Coturnix japonica: one gene and its partner. Each later gene encodes a partner of the first gene's protein in a complex. Links are inferred from orthologs where the notes say so. Each region holds a gene or a part of one and is shown in the gene's direction. Other genes may lie near its edges.

Region 1 (3,805 bases):
AGCACCTTTTGCTCTTTTGGAGGAAGATGTAATGATGGAAATTCAATTTGTTTATACTGTGGGAGAGAGAAGCATTTGGTAGCAGACGCCACATGGTTTGACCCATAGCCAGGAGGGAAGGCAGTAGCCTGCAATGCAATGTGTGCAGTGCGTTTCTTGGCTGATGTACAGAGAGAGAAGATATTTAACTTAGGGCGGGCTCTTGTGCTTTCCTTTATGTTTTCTCCCATTCTCCTTTCTCTAACTCTCCCTCTTTGGCTTTTAAACTCCACTGAGGTGCCGTCCCAGATTTAGTGTTAAGTGTGAATGCAGCAGAGCCACAGACTCCGCTTGTTACTTTCTAGAGATTTAATTTCTTGGCTTATTGAGCTTTGTGCTGATTTGTTTTCATAAAATTCATTTGAGAGACTGACAGGCGCTGCTGGAAGTTGCACCAAGAGCTCAGTGGAAGTTGGATCTTTACATCTCTTGTCTTGCAGTTCTCCGGAGAGAACGCTGAGAGAATGAAGAAGACATATGGCAAATTCTGTGGGCATCACAATGAGGCAGTAAATTACTTCAAAGATCTGTACTCAAAGGACAAACGTTTCCAGGCTTTTGTCAAGGTAGGACCTGGTGAAAGAGAAACAGCCCATAGGGAGAAAAACTGATTCCTTTCTGTGCTCCATTGGGTGCTTTGCTACAGAACTGAAATTTTTGGCTTTGTTTCTTAGAAAAAAATGAGCTCCTCGTTGGTGAGACGCCTTGGGATTTCTGAATGTATCTTGTTGGTAACGCAGAGAATCACAAAGTACCCGGTCCTGTTACAGAGGATACTGCAGTACACTGCAGGTAGGGGCCAGTTCTTTTGTAAGCGTGTATTTGCTCATCAAGTGTGCATTACCAGGACCTTTTTTTTTCCTTAAATTTTCTTAGAGTTGGCACACTAAGCCAGTCGTTGTCTCACACTGTTATAATGGGATAACCATGTTTCATCTCTCTGTTCAGTGTTAGTTGATCAGGTGCCTTGGTTTCATTGATGTAATCTATCTCTAGCTAATTGTGTATGTTTGGTGGCCCTGCTAGGCAGGGGGGTTGGAACTACATGATCCTTGAGGTCCCTTCCAACCCGGGTAATTCTGTGATTCTGTGATAATTATAGAGCCAGCATGCTCAGGCTCCAGAGTCTTCCAGCTTACCTTTTTTTTCATAACAGCTAAAAGATGTGGTTACTTTGCTCATTTCTCATCTACTGTCTTGAGGTATATTGGAACATCTCCCAGCCTCAACCCTGTATGTGAAAGGGTTTGTGAAGCTCTGCTTAGGAAGGAAAGATGCATCCTGTTGGGAGAATGTTAAAAAGTTATAATGCAGGAGTCTGAGAGGGAGAAGAGGAAGGAAGTAAAGGGAAAACAGGGATGTCCACAAGGATAAAGTGAAATAGAAATCTTTCTCTTTCTGTTCAAAGAAAATGAAGTGGAACATGAAGACTTGACTCAGTCATTAAACCTTGTTAAAGATGTGATTGCCGCGGTCAATAGCAAAGTCAGTAACTATGAGAAGAAAATGCGCCTTGATGAGATTTACAACCGGACGGACAGCAAGTCCATCATGAGGATGAAGAGTGGTCAGATGTTTGCAAGAGAGGACTTGAGGCATCGGAAGCTCATCCGAGATGGGCCTGTTTCACTGAAAAATGCAGCTGGGCGGTTAAAAGGTAACAATTCCCTCTCTGGGCATAGGGTTGCTCCTCAGATTGGAATCCCCAGAACTTATTTTGCTGCTCTGAGAGCCTTTGACAGCAATTTCAAATCGGATATGATTTATTTTGACGTTTTGGAAACAGGAAGTTTATGTTTGTTTTCTGAGCTTCCAGGATTACTAATGACTTCATAAGGTGGATGAAGCAAGTTATGCTGCTGTTGTGAAATACTGTGATAAGCACAGGCTGCATTTGTATTTCTAAGTCACAGAAATGCCTGTTCTGTAGTGCATGTTCCCAGCAAAAGCAGGACCTGTCGATCCCAGTAGGGGTGCAGCTGGTTCTGATCCTTTGGCAATTCTGTGGTACTTTAGGTGGAAAAGATAGAAATTTGGGAAGAACTTTTTCTTGCACCTTGTCAGCATTTCCCCTCTTGCAGAGTGCATGGAAAATATAGTGATGGAGAAGAATGGGGTCAAATGCTGACTCATGCAAACCTCCAAGGGTTTTGAGTTCACTTTGCAGCTTTGATTAAGATTTGGTGGTTCTTTTATCCAAAGCAGATCCTGTCTTCCTAAAGCAGAATGGAAGGAATTACCATGGGATGATTTCACTTTTTGGTTTGCTTCCTGTGTGTCACAAGATTTCCCAAGTACATAACACAAAAACGCTTTGTACTGAGGGATATGGGTGGGGTATTATACTTGGTACTTAGTGTGCAGCTTTATGCTCTGTCATTAGGAGACTTGGAAGGCTGTGCATGTACTTTGGGAAACGTTTGTATTCTGATTTAAGATCTTCTCAATCGCTTGGTGCTGTGCTTCCTTCCACCATGAAATAAAGGTCCTGCATCTCAAGCTGGGCTCTGTTAGCTCCCCTTGGAGTTAGCAGGGGTTTTGTTTGTCTGTGAGCAGAGCTGGTGGTGGCTTCTGAAGTCACTGTTTCCTGTAAAGAAACTGCAGCTGACAAATGTTGCTGTTGCACAATAATTTACACTCCCCCAAACTACTCTTTGAAAAAGACATAAAACCCCCAACTTCCTGTGCTGATGCTTTGCTCATGGGCTGAAATATTGATTGCTTCAGAAAACAATTCTGTTCTGTGTCTCCAGTTCTTGCTGCTATTCCATGTCCTACCTGTGGGCAGTTCATGGCTGGAGAGCAGCCCTCCCACCCAGGGGGGGGTTCCCAAGGCAGCTCTGCATTGCATGGCCCTTCCAGCATCTAACCAGGTGTTGCACAGCACTGCAGGCTGATCCCAGACCAGCCCTTGTGCTCCCCAGTGGCCAGTGTTATTAAAAGATAAATCTGCTTAGGAGTGTGTTGTGTGGGTGGTTATACAGCACCTATATAATTTTTCTCTTTTTGCAGAAGTCCAGGCTGTTCTCCTCTCTGACATGCTCATATTCCTTCAGGAGAAGGACCAGAAATATGTCTTTGCTTCACTGGTAAGTTTTCATCCTTCTCCTTTGCTTTTCTGTGTGAGGGTCCCTTGGTGTTTGTTATGCAGTAAAACCAGCCTCTGCCTGCTAAACAACTTCATTTTCCTGCTTAGAACATTTCTGTTTGTTGGGGGAGCTGTTTTGTCAATTGGAAAACGCGTCATTGTTTCACACCTCCCCCTGGTGATTCCTGCAGTGCCTTGGCACTGCTGATAATTGGCCTTGAAAACCCTCCTGCCACTCCACACGCCTTCTCCTTTTCAGTTTGTGCAAACTGAAGCCATGAGCTGGGGGGATGGAGAGTAATGGGATAATGCAAACGTTGTGAAAACAAATCTTAGCAGATGATGGTGTTCTCATATATTATGAAGTGCTATAGAGGAGGCAGGGAACACCACTGCAGTAAATGCAGCAGAGCAGCGTACAGATAAATGTCAGAAGAATGTGGTTGTAATGCACCAAACCAAAACCAATCACTTCTGAATGCAGTCTCCTAAAGGTCGAGACACACTACACAACGGTAGTCTGATACCTAACTAGGTCTGTTAGGACTGTACCTTGCAGACACAGTTTAGACTGTCTAAGCCTTGTGTCCTTTTGGCCCTTGGAATGGGAGCAATGGGATTTTGTAACCCAATGGGATATTTTAAATCGGGCAGGCTGACTACACAGAGACCATAGCA
Region 2 (4,601 bases), on another chromosome or scaffold:
CGGGTCGGGTCGGGTCGGGCCGTAGCGGCGGCACCGGGAGCTGCCACCGGTGCTTGGCCGCAGGAAGCCAGCTGTGCGCCACGTGCCCGCCCCGCAGCCTATGGCAGCGCTGCCGTTTTGTTTTGATACATTTGCCCGGCTCTTAAAGGAGCCGTAACACATTCTGCTCCACGACGAGCCCCGGCGCCCCCGCGTGGGCGGTGCGGTCACGGACAGCGCTGGGTCCCGGTAGTGCTGCGTCCCGGTAGTGCTGTATCCCGGTACTGCTGTATCCCGGTAGTGCTGCCCATTGCAGCGTGTGCCATTACTCGCCCTAAACCCGCTCGTTGAGCCCAAACTCCAGGATTGCTGCCCTGCTGGCACAAAGCCGGGCCCACCCCGTTCCCAGCTCTGTGATACGAGCAGTGTGTCACAGCCCGCAGCCCCGAACGTGGGCTTTGGGAATGCTCCCAGGCTGAGCTGAAAGGCGGTGAATCTGCTACGTCTCTCATTAAAGTAATTACTCGCACTATTAACATCAGTGATTTATTTCCCATTTGAGCCTTTCTAGCTTCAATTTACAGCTGCTGGATGTTAGCGCTGTCACTGGGTCCAGCCCGGACACAGGTGCAACCCCGGACCCATGTTTCCTGTCCTTATTTCAGACACATTTTCCAGCTCTCAAACCGATCAAACGAAGCTCTGCACAGCCCGGATCGGAACTGCACGAGACTGCACGAGGGCTGCGTTTGCTCCCACCCCTCCTTCGTAGCGGTTTGGATCACGCTGGGAAATTTCTGCCTGCAAAGATTGCTCCCCATAGAGCAGATTGCAGGATAGGTCAGGGCTGGTTCACGGGAGACCCCAGCAATGGGATCCCATGGGAATGCGATGGCATCACTTATCCCTGTGCAGGGTGACGTGGCTGCTGCGGGTCCCCCCTTGCATCAGCCCTGCCCAGCACGTGCCCGGGCAGGTGATGCTGATGCACGCAGGGGCAGATAGGTGGGGGATTTTCCAAAGGGGCTGTGCAGGGTCCTGGCTGCCCCACAGCTGATGCTGGAGCGTGCAAAGCAGCACACGGCTGTTGTTTAACATCCTGCAAACGAATGGATGGAGGGTGTTACGAGCTGCGGCTTCTCCTTCAAGGCAGAGGGTGCTGCTTGCACCTGCCCAGGCTGTTCCCAGCAGGCTCCCATTTCCTGCACTTACACGGAGGTAACTGGGACACAAGGCGGTCCAAGTTCCCTTGGCATTGTGGTGATGTGCTCATATAGGTAAAGCTCCAATCAGTGCGTTCCCTAAAGGGAAAGATACAAAAGCGTCCCGTGTTATGGGGGCTCTGCTGGCCCCGCTGGGCTCATCCCCCCGCAGGGCAGCTCCATTTTGCCCGCCCTACTCACTTCATTCTCTCCACCTCACCCGACAACCATAAAATTCCCCTGGCGGAGGCGGGCAGGGCGGAAGCTCCACCCACTCCACCGTTCTACCCAATCACGATGGCGCTTCCCCCGCGAGGGGGCGTGTCCAAACCCTTTAAGCCCCGCCCCTTCGCTGTTCATCCCCCGCCGCCGTCGCGCAGGTTGGGACAGTGCCGGGTATCGCCTTGTGCCCCAGCGCTGCGGGGCCGTCGGCCGTCATGTCTGTGCCCAGAGGTACGAGCGGGGTTCGGTTCGGTTCGGTGTGCGGGGGATGCGGGTTGGGGCTCTGCGTGGTTCTTTGGGGGCTGCCGTGCTCTGTGCCTGCAGCCCACGCTGTGTCCTGAGCGTGGGGCATCCCCGTGTTGTGCGTGGGGCCGTCGGGGAGGACACGGGTGGGTTTGGATCCCTCCCCGCTCAACGTGGCGGTGGGAGCTCGGCGCTGTGTCTGTGACACGTCGTTTAGATGAGCCCTGAGTGGGGTGGGGGGGATTGAGAGAGGAGGGGTCGTATTGTGGTGGTGGGTGGGGGACACGCGGGGCGTGCCCGCTTATCACCGCAATGCAATGCAATGCAATACAATGCAATTCAATGCAATGCGGGGGGTTTCCTCGCTGCGGAGCGATGCTCTGGAAAGTCTCGGTCAGGCTCCATGTGAGCAATGAAGCACCTCGGCGTGACCGCTGCTTTTTTCCCCCCTTCCCCTTCTCCCCGCCCCCCCCCATAAAACTCTCCGTGTCTTAAACGGAGGGAATGTGGACCTGAGTTTCCTGTTTGCTGTGTAAGCGGGAGGAGGAGGAGGGGGGGGGGTTGTGAATCAGCAGCGATTTACGGCGCTGCGAGCGGAGCTGCTGACTCACGGCTGCGGGTTGGGGCCGCTCAAAAGGCGCTCGGGAGCGCGCCCGGCCCCGCACCTCGTCGGGAACGCGCGTGGATGGAGGGATGGACGGCAGAGGTGAGCGATGCGGGATGCGATGCGGGATGCAGTACGGGATGCGATGCGGGATGCAGTACGGGATGCGATGCGGGATGCGCTCCGCACCGCGGCTGGGCCGTTTGTTTCCTAGAGCTGTGGGATTATCGCTGCGTTTTGCTTCTCTCTCTGCTATTCGTTGCCCTGCACATGGTTTGTTGGCTGCTTCCTAGTGGTGCTGGTGGGATGGATGTGGGTATGTGCAGCGCGGAGCGGGACCCGCTGCCTTCCAGGGGGGTTTGGTGCTGTTGGGGTGGTGCCGCTTTGCGTTCCGTGGTTCAAAGGAGAACGAGTTGGGGCTCTCATGGATCCTTCCGCCCCAAAGCTCGCTGCCGTCATTCGGGTGTAGTCACGGGGCCCGTCTGCTGCCTCCGGAGTGTTTGGGGCTGCGCGTGGCCGCCCGTGACACGCGTGATAGGAATGGAGCCGGGCGGGAGCGATCCTGGCGCTAAACATAGCTGCTGAGATAAACACCTTGTGGGGATTACGCAGGGCTTAGTGCCAGCATCTCGGCTTTCTTCCTCTTCCCACTGCCCGGATCTGATCCCTCGCGGGGTGAGATGTGTGGGGATGGGATGCGAGATAACGTGGAGTGCCGAGCAGCAGCGCTGGGGTTTGCTCCAATGTGCCCAAGCTCTCCTGTCTGTCCCATACAGCAGCACAGCCTCAGGTGTTTTAGGAGCTGTGCGACCCTCTGTGCTGTGGGGTCGGGTGGGTTCTCTGCTTTCTGGACTGATTTTGTGGCTGGGGGGCACTGTGGGGTTTTGACCCCATTGTTTTGCTGTCACTGTGCTGATATGGGCAGGCTGTTTGCTGGAGGAGCAATGGGGTGAGATCTGTTGTTTGGGGGAGGTTTTAATTCACCAACCAAAAGTTTGGGGTTTTACTGGTGTGTGACTCAGGGCTGCTTGTGGGTATGTGTGGGGCTTGGTGCAATTGGAGGCTGAGCCAGAGGCTCTGGAGTGGCAGAAAGGGCTTTTTCTGAAATTTATGGTGGAAACTGAAAGTTCCCATTCTTCTTCCTATTCTTTTTATTTGCAATCCCAAGGAGTGTCCAGGGAAGGGGCACAGCTTCAGGTCCTTTACACTGCTCCCCCTCCAACCTCTCCTTCCTCCCTAAAGAACATGCCAGCAGTTGGGCACAGCTGTAGGTACCACCCCAGCACCTTGCTGTCCCCTTTTGGCAGTGGGTCCTGGGCTCTGTTGCCCTGTCCTCAGCAGGAATGGGGGTTTGTGGACCAGGGGCTGCAGGCAGAGCCCTCTCACAGCTCAGGTGTGACATCAAGGCTGCATTTCTGTCTTTAGGGTGAGCTGCGGTGTCTTTGTTGCATCCCTATTGCAGGAGGGGATGGATGGATGGATGTTGCTTTGGGCATTATAGGAATTGCCCTCATGTGCTGCAGATTAAGGGGAATGCTGTGATGTAAGGGCACAGTGGTGAGCACTGTGCTGGCTGCAGGCAGCTGGAGGTCAGAGTGCTGCTTCTAAGAGCTGCTGCAGCAGCCCCACAGCTTTGAGATGAGTGGGGCCAGACCGTCCAACAGGGTTAGTTTAAGGGGTTGAGGTTTCTCTGAAGTGGGAAAGCATGACATTGGGTGCATGTGATGATGTCTCCACATCCCTGGTCCCTCTGCTCTGTGGCTTCATGACTCCTCATAGGAAAGCAGCTGGCAGCAGCTGGCTGTCACCATCATCTTGTGAGCTACTGGGGGGAGAGGAGGAGCTGGCAGATATCTGTCCCCCATGGGTTGCAGCAAGATTGCTCCAGCTCTGTCCATTGCTTCCTGCTTGGCTTCAGCATCTCAGGTGAAGTGCTTGTATATAAATGTATATCACATTCAGATATTCAGAGGACAGCTTTGCTTTAAAAACATAACTCAAAAGGAAGAGTAAGCAGGATGAGGAGGAGACACAAACCTACCAGAAACTGTTTGCGGAGCAACCACCCTTCCTGCTCCTCACACCACCACCAAAAGAAATCTCCTTTAGGGAAGGAGGAAGCAGAGCTCTCACTGAAGGCTGGCTGCTGTCAGAGGCTTCTGACCTGGGCTGTGGTTTGGCACTGCACATCCCGTGCAGCTGTGTGATGGATGTGCTGCATGTCTCTGACCATGGGTGCAGGATGCTCTCTGCCTCAGAGTGGCTGACATTATTAGGAAATGGAAAGCTTGTCATTATCGCTTCTTGTGCATCCTGAGGGTTCAGATTTCCAGGAAGGAATTCAAACCATC

The links.
Region 2: AKAP13 (region 1) and MAP2K3 share a complex: the UniProt entries of both Homo sapiens proteins name them as parts of the signaling complex. The link is inferred for Coturnix japonica from reciprocal best matches to the Homo sapiens genes AKAP13 and MAP2K3.

What each region holds. Positions count from the first base shown.
Region 1 is NC_029525.1:12,534,372-12,538,176, reverse strand, and holds part of AKAP13 (A-kinase anchor protein 13), read left to right. Parts: intron 1-479; coding exon 480-605; intron 606-713; coding exon 714-831; intron 832-1,447; coding exon 1,448-1,696; intron 1,697-3,051; coding exon 3,052-3,128; intron 3,129-3,805. UniProt on the Homo sapiens protein: Scaffold protein that plays an important role in assembling signaling complexes downstream of several types of G protein-coupled receptors.
Region 2 is NC_029529.1:4,552,522-4,557,122, reverse strand, and holds the start of MAP2K3 (dual specificity mitogen-activated protein kinase kinase 3), read left to right. Parts: upstream 1-1,526; 5' UTR 1,527-1,618; coding exon 1,619-1,634; intron 1,635-2,231; exon of another isoform or gene 2,232-2,339; coding exon of another isoform or gene 2,340-2,352; intron 2,353-4,601. UniProt on the Homo sapiens protein: Dual specificity kinase. Is activated by cytokines and environmental stress in vivo. Catalyzes the concomitant phosphorylation of a threonine and a tyrosine residue in the MAP kinase p38.